Linked DNA regions of Mus musculus. The protein of the gene in region 3 interacts with the protein of the main gene of each other region in a biochemical or structural test. Links are inferred from orthologs where the notes say so. Each region holds a gene or a part of one and is shown on either strand. Other genes may lie near its edges.

Evidence for each region.
Region 1: of the proteins of Mavs (region 3) and Trim31, one has a biochemical effect on the other in vitro, tested with the Homo sapiens proteins (2 studies listed by BioGRID). The link is inferred for Mus musculus from reciprocal best matches to the Homo sapiens genes MAVS and TRIM31.
Region 2: the proteins of Mavs (region 3) and Map1lc3a form a complex in vitro, tested with the Homo sapiens proteins (2 studies listed by BioGRID and IntAct, with this or other methods). The link is inferred for Mus musculus from reciprocal best matches to the Homo sapiens genes MAVS and MAP1LC3A.

Annotation. Positions count from the first base shown.
Region 1 is NC_000083.6:36,894,854-36,902,145, forward strand, and holds the start of Trim31 (E3 ubiquitin-protein ligase TRIM31), read left to right. Parts: upstream 1-3,276; 5' UTR 3,277-3,500; coding exon 3,501-3,914; intron 3,915-5,038; coding exon 5,039-5,134; intron 5,135-6,795; coding exon 6,796-7,026; intron 7,027-7,292.
Region 2 is NC_000068.7:155,273,874-155,280,353, forward strand, and holds Map1lc3a (microtubule-associated proteins 1A/1B light chain 3A), read left to right. Parts: upstream 1-2,490; 5' UTR 2,491-2,733; coding exon 2,734-2,773; intron 2,774-3,084; coding exon 3,085-3,140; intron 3,141-3,224; coding exon 3,225-3,331; intron 3,332-3,601; coding exon 3,602-3,764; 3' UTR 3,765-4,200; downstream 4,201-6,480. Other genes in the region: Pigu (phosphatidylinositol glycan anchor biosynthesis class U protein precursor), read right to left, coding at 4,663-4,776. UniProt on the Homo sapiens protein: Ubiquitin-like modifier involved in formation of autophagosomal vacuoles (autophagosomes). While LC3s are involved in elongation of the phagophore membrane, the GABARAP/GATE-16 subfamily is essential for a later stage in autophagosome maturation.
Region 3 is NC_000068.7:131,245,175-131,250,541, forward strand, and holds the end of Mavs (mitochondrial antiviral-signaling protein), read left to right. Parts: intron 1-28; coding exon 29-495; intron 496-1,189; coding exon 1,190-1,615; 3' UTR 1,616-2,851; downstream 2,852-5,367.

The DNA.
Region 1 (7,292 bases), on a different chromosome or scaffold from region 3:
AAGGTGTGTGCCAGCACTGCCCAGCTCAGCCAGTGCTCTTAATCGCTAAACCATCTCCAGTCCTGTGAAATGTATTCATAGTTACTTTTGCTGGTTCATCCCAACGCTTTTCCTTGTAATGATTGGCATCTGGGGTTCAGAGTACGAGCGATTAAAGAGGGCCTGTGTGGTTTGCATTTACTAAGGTATCTGGTGAGTGTGTATTGGGTTAGTGCCAACTGTGGCTCCATGGAAAAATGGCTTTTCCACAATGCCTGCTGATAACTCACCTGACACCAGGGACTAAAGGGTAAAGTCAGAAGACCTGTGATGAGAAACACCGTAAATCTGTGGATAAACCAGTCTCATCTGTGTCTAGTCTAAAAGGTTCTTTCTCAGGAGTGCAGTGTATGTATCATGGGATACAACTACTTCTTACATTCCTCAATAAATTCAGTGGAGGTTATTATGACATCAAAAATTGATAGAAAATTGATAAATGATAAATGATTGAAAAATGATAGATTATTATATTATAACAAAATATCTTGAACTGGAGACATGGCTCACCAGTTCAGAACACTTGCTGGTCTTCCAGACAACTAAAGTTCAGTTCCCAGTACCCATACCAGCTGGTTCACAACCGCAGATTAGGCCAGTTGAAGGCATCAGACTCATCTTTCTGAGCTCCACAGGCACATGTGGCATACATACACAGACGCCCACACATATGCATTCATGCACATACATACACAGACACAAGACACACACAAATAAACGTTTTTTTTTTCTAAAGAAAATAAAGTCTTTCAGTTCCTAACAAAATAGTAACCTATTGAATTAAAGCAGTGGTTCTCAACTTTTCCTAATACAGTTCTTTATACAGTTTACTTTAATACAGTTCTTCATATTATGGTGACCCTCCAGCCACAAAATTATTTTGTTGCTATAATTGTAATTTTATGGAGGAGCAGTGTCTCAGTTCCTAAGGCCATTGGGAATATGTGTTTTCTGATGGGCAAGACCCACAGGTTGAGAAACACTGAATTAAAGTTTGAATTCAAATGAAAAAAACACATTCTAGATTTTTTTTTTTAATGTATGACTCTCTTGCTGTCTTCAGACACACCAAAACAGGCATTAGACCCATTACGGTTGGTTGTGAGCCACCATGTGGTTGGGAATTGAACTCAGGACCTCTGGAAGAGCAGTCAGTGCTCTTAACCGCTGTGCCACCTCTCCCGCCCCTACAGTCTACATTACTAAGGGGTTGATTGACAGATGAGCTTCATGAGTACACAGGACCCTTTGAACTCTTGTTGACTTTGATAAAATATTTGCATCTCCAAAGAAAGTCTCACAATGCACCTTAGCATTGCAATAGGGATTTAACAATATACAAGTCATTGACCTTCAGTACTTGGCAGAAAAACTTAAGGTTTTCTGCAGAGGCAAAAGTCAAAACGCCCCAAATCCATGTAAAAAAAAATCTCTAAACAGGGGCTGGGGAGAAATAGCCCTCTGTAAGGGCAGTGTGGACTCAGCCTCCTAATCTTCTTGTCTCTACTTTCCCAGTGCTGGGATTTCATGCATGTCTGTCTTTGTGCCTTGGGTCTTACACATTCTAGGTGACCCTGAAACATGCTCAGTTCCCTGAACAACAGATATTGAAGATTTAGAAGTGAGACGTAAGTGAAATAATATATACAAAAAAGAAAGGAAAAAAAAAAAAAAAAAGAGGCACCCTCATCAGCGTATTCTGATTTGTCATTGTTTTTTAAGCACAATACACACAAAACAAAACTTGCCTGAAAATTAAATTCTGGGGGCTAGAGAGATGATTCAGAGCATTGACTGCTCTTCCAGAGAAACCAGGTTATATTCCCAGTGACCAAGGGGCAGCTCACAACTCTCTGTAACTCCAACTCCAGGAGACCCAGATGCCCTCTTCTGGCTTCCATGAGTATTGCATGTGGTTCACAGACACATCCAGGCAAAATACCTATACACATAAAAAAATTACTAATAGCAATACTGAAGATAAATTTTTTAAATCAAAGAAATGATTTAATTTAAAATAAATTAAATTTTACCTCTAGATCTGACAGCTGAGTATGAATGCAAGTTATAAAACCTTACAAAAATATTTGCTTTAATTCAACCTTAAAGTGAATGAAATAGACAGGCCTGAGGTCTGGTATTTCTACACTTGATCTTAGCCAAAAGGCTGAGAAGTGTAGGTGTAGTATTTCTGAAAGTGTTCAGCTTTCAGTAGTTGCTGTAATCAAAGTAACCTCTATAATATGAGTGGATACTTTTGAGAATGAAAGGAAGGGCTGTTGACATTTATGAGGGGACAAAGGTAAAGCCAAGACTGTCCCTGGCAAATGACAAGGAACTATTGTTGGGGCTATAGCCATAAAATCCTCCACACCCTGTGTGACCTGCCAATGGCCTTGCCCTATGAACACATTGGTTGCCTGTATAAGACCAGGCCAGTCAACTTTCCAACCTAAATAGGAAAGGGTTCATATGGCCCCACCTCACACTGAGGAGCTATTGGCAATTGATAGTTTCTGGGGTTGTGGCATTGTAGTGGCCTATGCTCCAGTGGGTGGTCCCATACCATTTGCATACAATTAATACTAACTCTGTGTGTGTGTGTGTGCGTGTGTGTGTGCAGGCAAAACTTTCATGTGAGTAAAATTAAAATACACAAATCTAAAACATTTTTATTTAAAAATTAACAGTTTGGGTTTTAATGACAGAACAGAAGAGAGGAGAGGTTAGTGGGGATGGAGAGGGAGGAAGGAGGGAGCACCGTCTTCCTGGGCACAAAAGAGCAAGAGGAAGGGTTAAGAAGTGTTGAGCTACTAATGGAAATGTCGGTGACCCTGGCTGATACTTTCCTTGTCAAGCTAAAGTCCACAGGTCAGGCAAGCTGATGTGTGTGTGTGTGGGTAGGTGGGGAATCTGAGAAGTACAGAGACAGAGGAAGTAACAGACAGGCCAAACAGAACAAAGGATGACTCAAAGATGCTGGGGTACCAGAGACAGGAAGGAATACCCAACAGAAGGCAGGGTCTGGGAGTGAGAGATCTGCTGGGGTGGTAACAAGCCTTCCTGGGGCTGCCAGCGATCAGTTCCACTCCCCAATTACACCTGAGTGGACTTTGTCACTTCGTCTTTCTGTTCTCTGAATCTGCTTCAGAAAGATATGTTTAATTAGTTCAAGGTCCAGGAAGTCTTGCTCTACTTTATAGGCAGCAGGCACTCTCGGTTTCTGTTCTTGAGAGACAGGGAGAGAGGACTGACCATCTGTTTTCTTCTCTTTAGAATATTCCCCATTTATCGCTGACTCTTTTCTGTCATTATTTATTTAACCCCCCCTTCCCTCATTCTCCTCTAATCCTCTCCCTGAGATACTCTTCAACCTCTGCCTCCTGCTTCCTTCTCTCTTACAAGCACCAGGCCTTGGATTTCTGTACTTTCACATCTCAGATTAGCCCTGCTGTTCCATCATGGCAGGCCAACCTCTGGCCTGCCAACTGCAGGAGGAGGTGACCTGCCCCATCTGCATGGAAATTCTACAAGATCCTGTCACCATTGACTGTGGGCACAACTTCTGCCTGCAGTGTATCAGTCAGGTTGGAAAAACGTCAGAAAAGATCCAATGTCCTCTCTGCAAACTCTCTGTGAATAAGAATACGTTCAGGCCCAATAAGCTGCTGGCTAGTCTTGCAGAGAAGATCCAAAGTATGGATCCTGCTGACATCCAAGCAGAAAAGGAAGACTCAAGATGTCAGAGGCACAAGGAAAAGCTACATTACTTCTGCGAGCAGGATGGGGCATTCCTCTGTGTGGTGTGTCGTGACTCCAAGGACCACAAGTCTCACAATGTCACCTTGATAGATGAGGCTGCCCAGAACTACAAGGTAGGCACCTGGGCCCTTCTCTGCCCCCAGCCCAGCAGAGTAGAGTTCACTGGGGAGGCCCCAGTTGATTGACACCCATTGCTGTACTCTTTGTACTTGAGTTGGCCATTTATAGCCAGGTCCAGTGGGCTCAAAGAATTGAGTTCTAGAAAATGCCAGTCTGTAACCAAAGCAAGACGAAGAATCAGAATAGTACTCTAGGGGCAGGCGAAATGACCCAGAGGGTAAAAGTGCCTGTCTTGACCATAAGGACCCACATAGTAGAAGGAGAAAATTGGTTTGATCCCTGGGACATGCAAAATAAAAGGAGAGAACTCACCCTTGAAAGTTGTCTTCATACACATAAACACAGACACACACACACACACACACACACACACACACACACACACCATAGCACTCTGCTGAACTTGCACACACAATTAATAATGTACTAATTTTTAAACATAATTTTTTATTAATTATTTTTTTTATTTACATTTCAAACATTACCCTTTCTGGTTCCCCTCCATGATCTTTCCACCCTATCCCACCCTTTCTTTTTGCCTTTAAGAGGGTAATGCCCCCTACCCATTCCCACTTCACCCCTCTAGCATCCCCCATCTCTGGGGTATCAAGCCTCCATAAGACCAAACGCATCCCCTTCCACTGAGGCCAGACACGGTGGTTCTTTGATACATATGTAGTGGGGACTATGGGCCAGCTCATGTGTGCTCTTTGTTAAGTGCAAATTTTAACTCAGAAGGTCTCATTCAAGTCCAGCCACTGCTAACTTACAAAGCAGAGCCTGAGACATCCAGATAAGCCAGTGCTCTTCTACCACAGAGCTCCATCCCCTGGTTGGTCCTGGCCCTGCCTCTCTGTGAGGCAGATGAAACCTATCTCTTAAAGAATGTGATAGGACGGATGAGGAGAAGTCTTCCCCTGAGAATACCAAAGCGCCATCCAAATGATCATTAGTAGTATTTTCTCAAGTCACTAAAGTTCCATTTCTTTCCATCACCTCCTTGTTCCTATCGAGAGATGGGGGCCAGGGAGGACTGCTAATAATGACATCAGTACCCTGGAACATCTTCCCTGCCTCTCAAGAGTCAGAGCCTGGCTGAAGCACCCTCTCCTTACAGGTGCAGATTGAGTCACAGGCCCAAGATTTGGGGCAAAAGGACAAGAAAATAATTGAAGAGAAAAAACAAGGTGAAGGGGCAATCTGGGCGTTCAGGGTAAGAAATGCTCATTCCAAACACTTCTGGGGAAACTGAGGCATTGCTGATGAAGCTCCTAGCCTTCCTTTATACAGCAAGCAGGAATAAAATCCTGCTGACGTGGTGGTGAGGGGCAGGGCAGAGGGTGTATGGTGCCTGAGCCGTGCTCCCGAGCCAAGCTCCCTAGCTGTGCTAACTACTGCCTGAATGCTGTGCCAGGTCTTCTGCTCCTCCACCCACAGCAGGCTGTGTAGAGAACACCCACACACTGGCTCACCCAAGCCCTTTCTAACTAGAGACTCCCACAGTAAGAAACGACAGAGACTATGACGCCATTGAACATCTCCACCTCATTTTGTTTGCATGTTTTAAAAAAAGTTTTATTTTTGTTATTTTTATATGTGTGTATATGTATGTGTCTGCATATGAGTAAAAGCCATTCGTGTGAATACTGGAAAAGACCAGACGAACTGGGATTACAGGCACTTGTGAGCTGCCCTACACAGATGCTAGGAACGGAATTCTGGAAGAGTTGAAAGCATTATTTTATTCGTTTGTTGGTTGGTTTACATCCCAAATGCTGACCCTGCCCCCTGGGAATGCCATCACCATCTCCCAGATGCTGTTGACTTGGCTGGCTGGTTTTTGTTACATCCACGGAAAATTCAGTTATGAAGGCAGTTAAGCTGAAAAGCCTTCTTTCTTTATCTTTCTTTCATTCATTTGTTTGTGGTTTTCTCCCATTGACATTTAAGACAATCTTTTATTTATTTATTTATTTATTTATGTATTTATTTATGTATTTATTTATTTATTTATTTATAGATCTATTGTTTATGAATGAATGCTTTGCTAACATAAAATATGTATACCAGATAAATGCCTGGTACCTACCGGTAGAGACCAGAAGAGGGCATAAGATACTTTGTGGGTTATGGGAATTGAATCTGAGTCTTTTGCAAGAGCAGCAAGTGGTCTAAACAACTCACTCTCCAGCTCCTAGACAGAGAATCTGATCTAGCCCAAGCTAGAAATTGTTTGTAGAGAAGAATAGCCTTGAATTTCCAAGCCTCTGTCTTTCTCCCAGTGCTGGATTACAGGGCTATAATAGCATGCCCAGTTTATACAGTGCTGAGGATTGAACCCAGGGCTTCACCCATGCCAAGCAACCACTCCATCAACTGAACTCCACCCTTACCCTGGGTTTTCAATGGTCATATTGTCTGTCTTTTGTGGAGATGGTGGCTCAAGTAGTTGAGCCTGGTCTTAACCTCCTGAAGTGCTGAGATTGCCTACTTGTGCACCAGCACATCTGGCTGGTGGCCTTAAGGCAAATGAAAGCATGCCATCTGGCCTAAATCTGTAAATACTTTGCTTCCCCTTTCCAACAGGTATGCCCAGAAGCTCTTCTGAATTGGTCTCAGTGTAATCTTTAAATACTCTTAAAGCATGAGTGGTGCCAGGTGGTGGTGCACGCCCTTAATTCCAGCACTTAGGAGGCAAAGGCAGGTGGAAATCAGGGCTATCCTGTTGTACTTAACGAGTTCTGGGCTATCTAGGGCTTTATAGTGAGACTCTGCCTAGAAAGAAAAAGAAGGATGGGAATTATGAATTTAAAGGAGGCTTGGAGGACCCTTCTCATGGTCATCTCATATCTGCATCCTCTCCTTCGTCCCCAGGCCCAGGTGGATCTAGAGAAACTAAAGATCCATGAGGAATTCAAGCTCCTGCGCCAGAGACTAGATGAGGAAGAGAGTTTCCTCCTGTCCAGGCTGGACTGGCTGGAGCAGCAGGGAGCCAAGCAGTTGAGACAATATGTCACTGTGACAGAGAAGCAGCTGAACTCTCTAAGGAAGCTCACTAAATCCTTGAAAATAAGGCTGCAATCATCATCCATGGAGCTACTAAAGGTGAGTCCTATGTGAATAAATAGATTCTCTCCTCTCTCTATTTCTCTATTTCTCTCCCTCTCTATTTCTCTCTCTCTCTCTCTCTCTCTCTCTCTCTCTCTCTCTCTCTCTCTCTCTCTCTCACACACACACACACACACACACACACCAGTTTTCTAAAAGACAGTTAAGAATCTGAGTTACATTATGGTCTAACAGCTCCAAATACCTGGCTGCTCAATGCCTTTTGTTACATAAATCTAAATTTTGAAAAAGCCTATGGGCTT
Region 2 (6,480 bases), about 24 Mb from region 3:
GTCAGAGAGCAATCTGCAGAAACTGGCTCTCTCCTTTCACCACACAGTTGTCAGGAATGAACTCGCACCTAGAGTCATCTCACTGGCCTACATTTTACGTTTTTATTAACTTTTTACTTACAACACAAAGACATGGGTCTCACTTTGCCATTTTACACATATATGATACATTGTTCCTCTGTGGCCTCTTGTAAACACTATGGCCTTCCTTCTTCTTACTTTTCTTGGCGAGTCCTAAAATTTGGGATGACAGGCATGTGCCACCATGTCCAATCTATGTGAAGCTGAGATCAAACCTAGGGTGTCCTGCATGGGAGGCATGTACTCTACCCACTGAGCCGCACCCCAAGGATGTGGCGTTTTTATAGGTGAGTACGAGACTCCTCCAGGTCTGTGCTATTTACCTTCCTATTTACGTTCCTACATGATCCGCTTCTGGCTCCCATGGTTCAGAGCCCTTCACTACCCACCCTTTCAGTATTTAAAACCATATTTTACATTTCTATTCTCTCTCTCTTTTTTAAAGGATTTACTTATTTATTTATTTTGTATATGTGAGTACCCTGTAGCTGTCTTCAGACACACCATAAGAGGGCATCCGATCTTATTCCTGATGGTTGCGAGTCACCATGTGGTTGCTGGGATTTGAACTCAGGACCTCTAGAAGAGGAGTCAGTGCTCTTAACCCCTGAGCCATCTCTCCAGCCCCATTTCTATTCTCTTAATGATCTTTCCTGCTGTGTCTTTTTTTTTTTTTTTTTTACATTTATCTATTTGCTGTGTGGAAGTTGTTCTTCTACCACCATAGACAGAAAATATTTTAATATTTAAAATATTAAAAAAAATTCTTCTCGGATTCAGTAGAGAGATGTCCTGAGACAGATTTAGTAATCCTGTCACTTGCTGAAAGGGAAGCCAGAACATTGCAGAAACCTCAAAACAAAGGCTAATCCTTGCACTAACAGATTTTCTTGTAGGGGAAGGTGTCTAAGGTTAGTGAAGGCACTAAATAGGACTTAAGGTCATAATTTAGGGAAGTAATCCTACCGCCCCACCCTAATTTGGGGCTGCCACATACCAGGCATTGAGCTGCCTGGAGAAGGTAGAGATGGGATATAAGGCCTGGTTGAATCCCTTTGTAGGTGGAGCCTCTAGGATCTAACATATTCCGAAAATTGAACCCACATCCTCATGCTTGCGGGCAAGCACCCTACCTGACCAAGCAGACAATAATATCTTTCCAAACAAATCCAGCTCCCTAAGACATTTAAAAAGCAAAACAAAACCCAAAACACAAGGTCTCACTATCTAGACCAGGCTGGCCTTGAACTCAAGAGACCATCCCGTCTCTGCCCACAGAGCTGGGGTTAAGGAGGCACCGCCACCCAGCCTCTTTAAGGCAATCTCAGCTGAATTCTTGTTACCTTAGCAGCTTGTTTTTGTACCAATCACTACCATTTCTGTCCATAAGCAGTTGTTTAGAATTACTCAAGCGTGCATCTGTTAACTTGGTTCCCATCAAATTTCTTCCCTTTGAGCTGTATGTTTCTGAAGTACAAACTAACTTTTTTTTTCAAACAATGGTCCTTTGTAAATTCTTTTGTTTTATCTTTTTTCTTCCTTACTTCAACTCTAGCCCATCCTCCTGCCTCAAACTCCCATAGAGCTAGGACTACAAATGAGAGCCAGCTACATCTGGCATTGATTCTGGCTTTCAATCGATTTTTAAAGTTCTTCAAGGGGCCGCCTCTCCGTGTCCGTCCAGTCCCTCTATCCCCTCCACCTCCCGCAAAACCTGAGATACTGAACTTAAGCCTTCCATCTGCTAGGCAAGTATCCTACCCTGACCCTCGGTAACATTCCCAGACCATACTTCTTTCTATCCTACCAAGGGGCTCTACCTGTAAAATCTGACTTCGCGTGTTGTCAGTTCCGAATGTTCTCCATCTCATGGTTAACCACTTCTGATATAGCCCCCCCATTCAGCGATTCTCTCCTGCTTTATCTAAACCACCTATTAACCAACCTCACTCTGGAAATCTATGCTTTCTATGGTTGTTCCAGAATTCTTTGAAAGCCTGGGTGGGGGGTCTGGAGCAATGGTTCGACAATTAAGAGCCCTTGCTATTATTTCAGAGGACCTAAGCTTGATTCCCAGCAGTGCGATTAACTCCAGCCTAAGGAAATCCGATGCTATGTTCTGCATCCGCGGGCATACACTTACAGACACATTAAAAATTTTAAAACTCTGGGTGTTCCATCCTCTCCCCGCTCCACCTTCCTTCTCGAATGCTAAACTCGATGAAGGTGCGGTGAACTACTCCGCAGCGTCGAGAGACTGGATGGAGGCGACAAATGCCTGGCTTCTGAGTCTGTGGCGCCAAAGAGAGGAGCTTGCCATCGTGACGTCACAGAACTGTGACGCGCCCTGGAGCTCCGCCTCCTTACGACCTGCGCCGGGAATCCGGGCTGTCTGCGCCGTGGCGTCACAGGTCCAGGCAGGCGGGTTTTCCGTCGGCCCAATGGGAGCGGCGCGCCGGCCTCCCCTTTAAGGAATGTTGTGACCTGACGTCACCCAGGCGAGTTACCTCCCGCAGCCGCCACCGCCAGGCTCAGCGCGAGCCCCGCAGCCCTTGAGCTCGAGCCCCGGAGCCCCCGGCGCGCCGAACCGCAGACGCATCTCTGAGCCGCGCACCCCGGAGCCCCGGCTGCGCGCCCCGCCGGGCCCGCGCGATGCCCTCCGACCGGCCTTTCAAGCAGCGGCGCAGCTTCGGTGAGGCCCTGGGGGGCGAACTGCCATCGGGGATCGAGGGATGGGGGTGCCAGTCGACCCCGATTGCCGCAGGTGACGTCAGCCCCATGACGTCAGGCACCGGCCGGCCGGACCCCGGGTGGAGAGGCCGCAAGGCCTGGCAGGGTCGCCCGCCTCCCTACCGCGTCCCCCCGGTGGAGGGCTGCGGGGCCGACGGCCCCGGGGGCGGGCGCTGGGGCGGGGCGGGCCGGGAGCCGCCCCTCGGGGATCAGCGAGGCGGAGTCGCGGGAGGCCTCAGCACCGCTGGGCCTCACACAGAGCTCTGTCCGCAGCCGACCGCTGTAAGGAGGTGCAGCAGATCCGCGACCAGCACCCCAGTAAGATCCCGGTGAGTCTCTAGCACCCCCCAGCCACGCCCTGCCCTGCCAGGTCCCGCCCTTGGCTTACGAGTCCCCCGCCCACTCCACTCCAGGTGATCATCGAGCGCTACAAGGGTGAGAAGCAGCTGCCTGTCCTGGATAAGACCAAGTTTCTGGTCCCAGACCATGTTAACATGAGCGAGTTGGTCAAGATCATCCGGTGCGTGGGCAGCCTCCTACAGGCCTTGGGTGGGGCAGGGTCAGGTTCCACAAGAAGGGATGGAGTGGGGCGAGGGGACTGATTTGGGACACCGGGCCCCTGTTCTAGGAGGCTGGAAAAGACCAAGGTCGGGGTTGGGACGAGCTTCAGTAGAGGTGAGAGCCTCTGGCTGAGATGGACCGAAAGTGAAGGTTCAGTAACATTTTGGGAGGGTCACCTAGGCCTCCAGCAGGCAGCCTCCTCACCTGGCATGCCTGCCTGCCTCCACAGGCGCCGCCTGCAACTCAACCCCACGCAGGCCTTCTTCCTGCTGGTCAACCAGCACAGCATGGTGAGCGTCTCCACACCCATCGCTGACATCTATGAACAGGAGAAGGATGAAGACGGATTCCTCTACATGGTCTACGCCTCCCAAGAAACCTTCGGCTTCTGAGTCAAGAGGAGGGGAGGGGGGTGGCTGGGAGTTCTGGTCAGGTTCTCCCCAGGGAGGTCCTGGCTCCTAAACTAAGCTATTTCAGTCCCCAGTGGATTAGGCAGAGATGTGACACCCACTCCCCCCCCCAGGTAGGGGCCACCAGCCAGCCTACCACATCCTGGGTAGGTCCTGGGCCAGTCATGTTCGGGTTGCTCTTTTGGGTGCTGGCTGGGTTGGGAGTGGGTGGGGAGCAGCATCCCTGCTCTGTGGGGTTTGTCATTTTGTTAGGCCCTTGCCTGTCTGCCCATCTTGCCCCTCATCCACCTGAGGCTTTGCCTCCTGCCAGGACCTGCCCCACCCCTGAAAGGCTGGCTCCCCTTGTCCTGACTCGGTGTATGGATCTGTGGTCATTTCCTCTGCAGAAAGAATAAAGACTGCTCAGGCCTGCCTGGCCCTTTGCCTCCAGCTGCTTGTTTGGGAGCAGGGAGGGCTGCTAGGTGACTGTGTTCACACACAGAGACAGACGCGTGTTCCCAGAAACCCACTCCTTAGTACAGGATAGCACGTAGTATTAGGGGGCCAAGCTCACTCCACTCCAGGAATACATGTCATCAGAACAACAATGAAAAAAAAAAGATCCACACATTTATTAAGTAGTCACAACCTATAAAGCCCTGCTCACCGGCTGCTTCCTTTCTGTGCACAGTCACAAAGTGGGGGTCCAAGTGGGGTGCTCCTAGCTTCTCCCCATGGGCCTTGTTGCCAGCTATGAGTCCCCTTTGGTGCCAGAGATTTGTGACCCTGGACTTGAACTTCTTCTGCCTGAGGACGCGCCTGCTGGCAACTCTGGATGAGGGACCTGGCCCAGCTTCTGGCCCTTCCCCCTCTTGTCCATGCAGCGCTGTGCCAGCCAGGGCTACTTGAGCACAAGCATGGCCTCAGTGCCGTCCTTGGCAGTCAAGTAGAGGCCGTGTGTGAGGTAATACTCCCGCCGCAGGAAGGCATAGAAGTAGTCAGAGATGAGCAGGATCTGGCAAGGAAAGAGAGTGTGAGAAGCCACAAGGCACCTTACTGAATGCTACCCTTTGCCAGGTTAGACAGGCAGGTTAGTGCCTGCCTGGCATCTCCCAATCTATAATTCTGCCTAGGGACCTCCTTCCCTCTTGGCACGCTCCTGGCCCTGAACGATCTTACCGGTCATCTGGCAGCTGTTTGTATCCTGCCTTCTGTTCCCTTTTCCTGCTTTATACTTTCATACGTGAGAGTCCAGACCCGTGTTCTTACAGTGGTGCGTGCACCTTGCCGCTGCCCACAGGCACTCCCCATCTAGCCTTCCCTAGAGAAACCATCTATCCAGGAACTCAGAACACAAAATTGCCCATTTCTCCCATAACAGGCAGCCCAGGAACTCTACCTTGGAAACAGTTTGTCAGGTGATGGTGGTACAAACCTTTAATCCCAGCACTTGGAAGACAGAAGCAGGCAGATCTCAGTCTCACAAGATCCGACTGCCTCTGTCTCCCGAGCACTGGGACTGAAGAAGGCATGTACCACCACTATCAAGCTACTGCCAACATTACTCACCTGTTAAAAAAGTTATTTCTGGATGTGACTGGTAGGATTTTCCTTCCTATGACCTGGCCAGCTCATCACCGCGATGAGTTGTGAATTCTGATTCTGCATGTGCCCCTCACCCACCCCGACACAGGGTCTGGGTGAGGAGACCTCAGGGTTCAAGGTCACTATCTACTGCCTGAGCCAGGCTGACCAACAGCTGCCTGGTCACTTGCTGATATGCTACAGGGCCCTGTGTCCTTTTGTGGGTGGGCTCTTGGGACGTCACACATTTAAGGGTGTATATCCAAGTCCAGCCTTCCAGGTATGGCTCTGGTCCAACTAATTGAATGCCTCCAGCCTCAGTTTCCCTATTTGTAAATAGGCCATTAGCCCTCCAGTGAGAGAATGGCAGGAATGAGTCCAGAGACTATCTGATTTTGGCCCCTCCAAGGTCTTCTTAGCTGCTCTCCTATCTTCAGAAAAGTATACAGCTGCCCAGGACAGGACTGGAAGACCTACATCTTTGGTTTAGGTCAACCTCTGATCTGTCTCCCTCTCACTAAGTGCCTGCCATGTTCTAGGCCTTAGTCTTCCTGTGTGAACTAAGAGGTGGTTGGTGCTAGTCCTCTTGGAGCCTATAAACTTTTGAGAACTGGTATGTCCAATACTGTGCCTGCCCTCCTTTGGTAAGGCAGGGCACTCCCCTGCCAGCTTCAGTTACTCCAGTCTTAGGCATGTTGGGCTGAATAGGGTTGTGGACTTTGGGGTCAAGTGTGCAAATAGACGAACCCTGTTCCTCTCTGGGACTCTATTTAGGGTGACAGCAAACTGAGATTGTTGGCTCCTTTGATTCTGTGGTCAGACTGAGTTGGGGCAGGTAAATGCCACAGTGGCAGAAGCACTCAGGATCATCCTTAGCAGAAGCGACATTCCCACCAAGTGCCACACAGTTGAATGGGAAGTTACAGTTGGAATGAGTTTGTCATCAGAGAGGTTAAGGGGTCAGGACCTAATCTGGAGAAAGTGAGCCTACTGCAGATGAAGGGGAGTTAGGTACCGACTAGGGGGAAATGTTCCAGGCAGTGGGAACACCAGAGATCCTGTGGTGAGAGGGGCAGTGCGGGGAGATGATGTAATGGATGGCAGGACCAGGTGCAGGGTCACAGAGCTCAGAAGA
Region 3 (5,367 bases):
TTTCTGCTTTTGTCTTCCCCACCTGTAGATGTTGCCTCTGTTCCCATAGCAACCTATGGACCTGTGTCTCCAACCGTTTCCTTCCAGCCCCTTCCACGTACTGCCCTGAGGACAAACCTCTTGTCTGGGGTCACAGTATCAGCCCTATCTGCTGATACCTCTTTGTCCTCCTCGTCCACTGGATCAGCTTTTGCAAAGGGAGCTGGTGACCAGGCCAAAGCTGCCACCTGTTTCAGTACTACACTCACCAATTCTGTGACTACCAGCTCAGTGCCTTCTCCCAGATTGGTCCCAGTAAAAACCATGTCTTCCAAGTTGCCCCTCAGTTCAAAGTCCACTGCTGCGATGACGTCTACTGTGCTCACCAATACAGCGCCATCAAAATTACCCAGCAACTCAGTGTATGCGGGCACAGTGCCATCCAGAGTGCCTGCTAGTGTGGCCAAAGCACCTGCCAACACAATACCACCTGAGAGGAACAGCAAGCAAGCCAAGGTGAGTCCTTGTTCCTGAGAGTGACTCGGGCTACCTTGCCAAGACAGCTGATCTTTTGTCCTCAGACTCTTACTTTCTGTGCGGTCCCTCGTCTGTTTCTTCAAGGTGTTGGGACAGATGGGGAGCAGCCCCACCCAGCCCTTGCACCTTGTTTTCTAAGAGGATTGATAAACATGAACACTTCTAAGGAGGGACCTCTAGCAGGGTGGGGCTACCCCCGCTGATGTGTATTAACTCATCTGGAGCTCAAAGACCCCAGTGAAGCTCAGCAGTACCATTTAGTAGATGGAGTAGTGAGGAGTGAACATGGTGGATCACATGTCCTAGTGCCCTGTTCATTTGACAGTGGTCTCAAGCATCCTGCTTGGAGCAGTTCCTTCAACCTCCTGACCCCTATAGTCACTTTCCCCAAGACCATACACCTTGGGATCTTGTGCCTGCCCTGTGGCTCTCAGGCCCAGGTAGCACAAGGTGGTTCACACCCCAAGCAAGGGCTCCCTTGCAGTAGAGCTCACAGCAGTTTGGTGAGAAGAAGAGGGCTGCCCTAGAAGGGGTCACCTCCCACTCAGCTGTGTCCTAATGTGTTGAGTCCCCAAGAGAGGGTAGTCTCGACTATTGTGAGATACTAACTCAAGCCCTCAATACACTCTGGCTTATCTCCCTGTCACCTGGACCCCTCTTCTTATGTTTCCAGGAGACCCCGGAGGGTCCAGCAACCAAAGTCACCACTGGAGGCAACCAGACTGGACCAAATAGCAGTATCAGGAGCTTGCACTCTGGACCAGAGATGAGCAAGCCAGGTGTGCTGGTATCCCAGTTGGACGAGCCATTCTCAGCCTGCTCTGTGGACCTTGCCATTAGCCCTAGCAGCTCCTTGGTCTCAGAACCCAACCATGGTCCAGAGGAGAATGAGTATTCGTCCTTTAGAATCCAGGTAGACGAAAGCCCCAGTGCTGATCTATTAGGAAGCCCTGAGCCACTAGCCACCCAGCAGCCCCAAGAAGAGGAAGAACATTGTGCCAGTTCAATGCCCTGGGCTAAGTGGCTTGGGGCCACCAGTGCACTCTTGGCTGTATTCCTGGCAGTGATGCTGTACCGTAGTAGGCGCCTGGCCCAGTGAAGCCTCAGCTGTATGCTGTTCTCTTGCTCAGTTCTGCCAAGCATGTTCTCTAGGCTTGGGCTAGTAGAGGCTGAGTCAGAGAAACTTAAATATGGCGAGGTCCACTGAGCTATCCAGGTAGATAGCTACACCAAGACGTCATCACTGTTGGGTGGGGGAGAGACATTGTTTTATCCTGGTTCATATGTCATCTTCTGGTCTTCAGCTTTTGGAGGCACTGTGTTACCTCCATTGCTCCTGACCTGCCCACGTGGCAGTGTAAGAGTTCATGCTCTGTGCTCCTAAGGAGGTATCTCCACCAGCTTTATCCCTGTTGGCCCAAGCCTGAAGATGAGGAGGTATCGCACTGTTGACAATGCCCCTCATCTCGCCCAGATCTTCTGAAACACAAGCGTAGGTACACTGATGAGTGCTCCCATAGCATCTTATGCCTTCCACCGGCAGCCTGGTCTAAGGCCTTGGCAGGAGAGCCTGGGAGTAACAGAGTGGCTGGTCTCTAGGGAGCTTTGAGTGCTCTGCCCCTTTGGGCCCTCTCCACAGCCAGTCAACCCTGAGGGTGAGTCTGGAGGTTCTCTGTGGACTCTTAAGAAAGCCAGAAGCAACTGCCAGGCCTGAGGAAGCCCCTGGGAGGGAGCTTTTCTCCAACCTCCTTACCCCCTCCTCGCTTCTCCACTCCTGGTCTCCATTCTCTCCCTATACTGGATGATGAGATACCTAGTGGGCAGAACTCAGGCTGGGCTTGCATCAGTTCCACCCTTTCCCTGGCCTTTAGCAGATGTCTAGCTTCTCTAGTCTTGTTCCCAATGTAGATAGCGGGCAGCTCTTCCTTTTACTGGGCTCCTCTGAGTTTGAAGGATACAGATACTTGCCTAGTACTTATCTCAGAGGGTGTGAGTACAAGTTCTTGCCCTCCTGCCCTGGCTGGCTGAGCTAAGGTGAGAGTGTGAGAGGCAGAGTGCATATTGGTAATGGCAGTCTTTGAGAGAGCAGCCTTCATCTCCATCATGCTTCTTTCTCCTCCCTGGTCAGGTGTAGGCCTCACCTCTGTGCCTCACTTTTCTTACCTGTGAGATGGGGTGAGTATGTGTGTGTATACACACACATACCCACAGACCCACGCCCACACCCACACATACATGCTAATATATTCTCACCTGTGAGATGGAAAGTATGCATACATTGATGCTAATATATTCTAGTTTTATCAGGATAATTAAAAGAGTTTATCTGTGCAAATCTTGTGAGTTCCAAATTTCTTAAAGGATGGATACATGTTATCACCACCCCACCCTAGACTGTTTCTCTGTGTAGCCCTGGCTGTCCTAGAATTCACTCGGTAGATCAGGCTGACCACAAATTCAGAGATCCACCTGTCTCTTTCAAGTGCTAGGATCAAAGGCGTGTGCCACCACCATCTGACACATTATCACTTTTAAATGAAAAGGTGCTGGGGCTTTTGGGTGTACAAACCTCAGTGAGATAGGTGCTCCTTGGGCAGAAAGACTAGTTACTCCTACAGCAGGGACACAATTAGGTTTAGGGTGGGTATGATAGCTCACGCCTTTAATCCCAGAACTCAGGAGGCAGAGGCAGGCGGATCTCTAAGTGAGTTCAAGACCAGCTTGGTCTACACAGCAAATTCCAGGCCAGCCAGTCTCCAGAAAATGAAATACAATGATGTCTATTGAGGCTATCCTCATGAGTTCTCTCAAGGTGCCCTTTGCTGGACAAGGGATAATTGTGGAGCCAATTCCATCTCTGGGCTTTATTGTGAACACAAACCTTAGAGAAATCAGGGATGGGGGTTGCAATTACAATCTTCCCTACATGCCCTAATGACCCCAAGTTGTCTGCACAACTTTTATCACCTTCGTTTCTAACGAACCCTGGTCTTTGTGCCCTTTCTCAGAGCCATACTGGCCATGCTAGTGAACAGTTGTGCATAGGTACTAGTTTTAGTGTGTTGCCATTCTAGTATAGCTTTGAAAGACTAGTCTCAATAATACAACATGTAGCCCTACAGAGGTTACCCACATGGCGAGATTTAAAGACTGGCCACTAAGCATCTCTTAGGTCAAGAATGTGTAGGAAGTCTCAGAGGCCTTCCCTGTTCTTTGCACATTTTGATGACCAGGCCAGCATTCAATGGCACCTTTATCTCAGCTGGCCGCTTAGATGCCACCTTCAGAAAGAGGAAGGCTTTGGCATTGTCAGGTTCCAGGAGTCCAATGTTTATGTGTTGCCTTCAGCTGCAGTAGGATTCATAGCTGTGTTGAAGGGAGAGTTGGAAGAGGTCTGGACAAGGTGAACCAGAACCCAGGGAATGGAAGGAGCATCTGTACCCACACCCGGGTACTCTTATTTACACACGTAAGAAAACAAATTCCTTTAGGAGGATGACTGTTGGCTGGAGTAATCAGTGCTTCGTAAGCACCCATGCACAGACGCACAGGCAACAGAGCCCTGCCCACATTCTTTCTCTGGTGAAGAATTCCCAGAAGCCCAAGAACTCTGACTTCTCTATCCACAGCAAGTCCCAGAGGGCCCTGCTGTTATTGAATTCAGTACAGTGCCACTCCACTTCCTTTCCCTTGCTAGACACCTTCATTTATGGGACTCTGTCAGAGATGAGAGATACCCATCATGGGTATGCTCCATTACATCATCAGGGACCAGTGTCTTATCATGCCCCCTCAGACCTGGGGACCTTTTCTAGAAATTCCCATGCAGGCAAGATTCAAAAACATGACTCATTATATCCCCTAGGAATAGAATCACTCAGATCCTACAGTCCATATTGTCCATAGATGCACTATTATACAGGTGAGTGCTGACATTCCCCCTACCCCTGCAAAAGGAAAGTCTGTTGGCCAGGAGACATGTAGAGTGAAATTTTTTACACCAAAGCATTCCTGCCCAATATGTCAAGATCTCTCATCTGCTTTAATAGTAAAGTAACACTCTATAATTAGTACAGTCTCAGGGATGACATAACCATGTGATTATAACCATTGTGTATGTGCCAAAAGTCAGAACCCTCAGGCTGGGTGTGATGGGGTAGGGGATATGAACCTTTAATTCCACTCCTTAAGAACTCCATTGAGGGGGCTGGAGAGATGGCTCAGTGGTTAAGAGCACTGACTGCTCTTCTGAAGGTCCTGAGTTCAAATCCTAACAACCACTGGTGGCTCACAACCATCCGTAATAAGATCTGATGCCCTCTTCTGGTGTGTCTGAAGACAGCTACAGTATACTTGCATATAATAAATAAATTAGTAAATAAAAAAAAACTCCATTGATTTGACAGGCATTGAATATTTATTAAAGGCCATGTTCAAGGGGAAAGCTTGGGAAAGCCATGTTCAAGGGTGCATTCAGCTAGCTGAGAATCACATATGTGATAGATGGCAATACGGTTTCATAATATTGGGGTTTTTTGTTTTGTTTTGTATTTTAAGACAGGGTCTCTCTACATAACCCTGGCTGTTCTTAAATTTACTACGTAGACTAAGGTGACTTCAGACTCACAGAGATCTGCTTGTCTCTGCCTCTGGAGTGCTGGGCTTCAAGGTGTGGTAACTAAGCTAGACATGGTGGTGCACCCAGGAGACTGAAGCATGAGAGTTGCTGCAGGTTTAGGACCAAGGGCCCATCTCAAAGTAATACATTTACAAAACTGTGATGGTTAATCTTCATTGTCATTGACTGGATTTAGAATCACCATGGGAACATGCTTCTGGGTGTGACCAGGA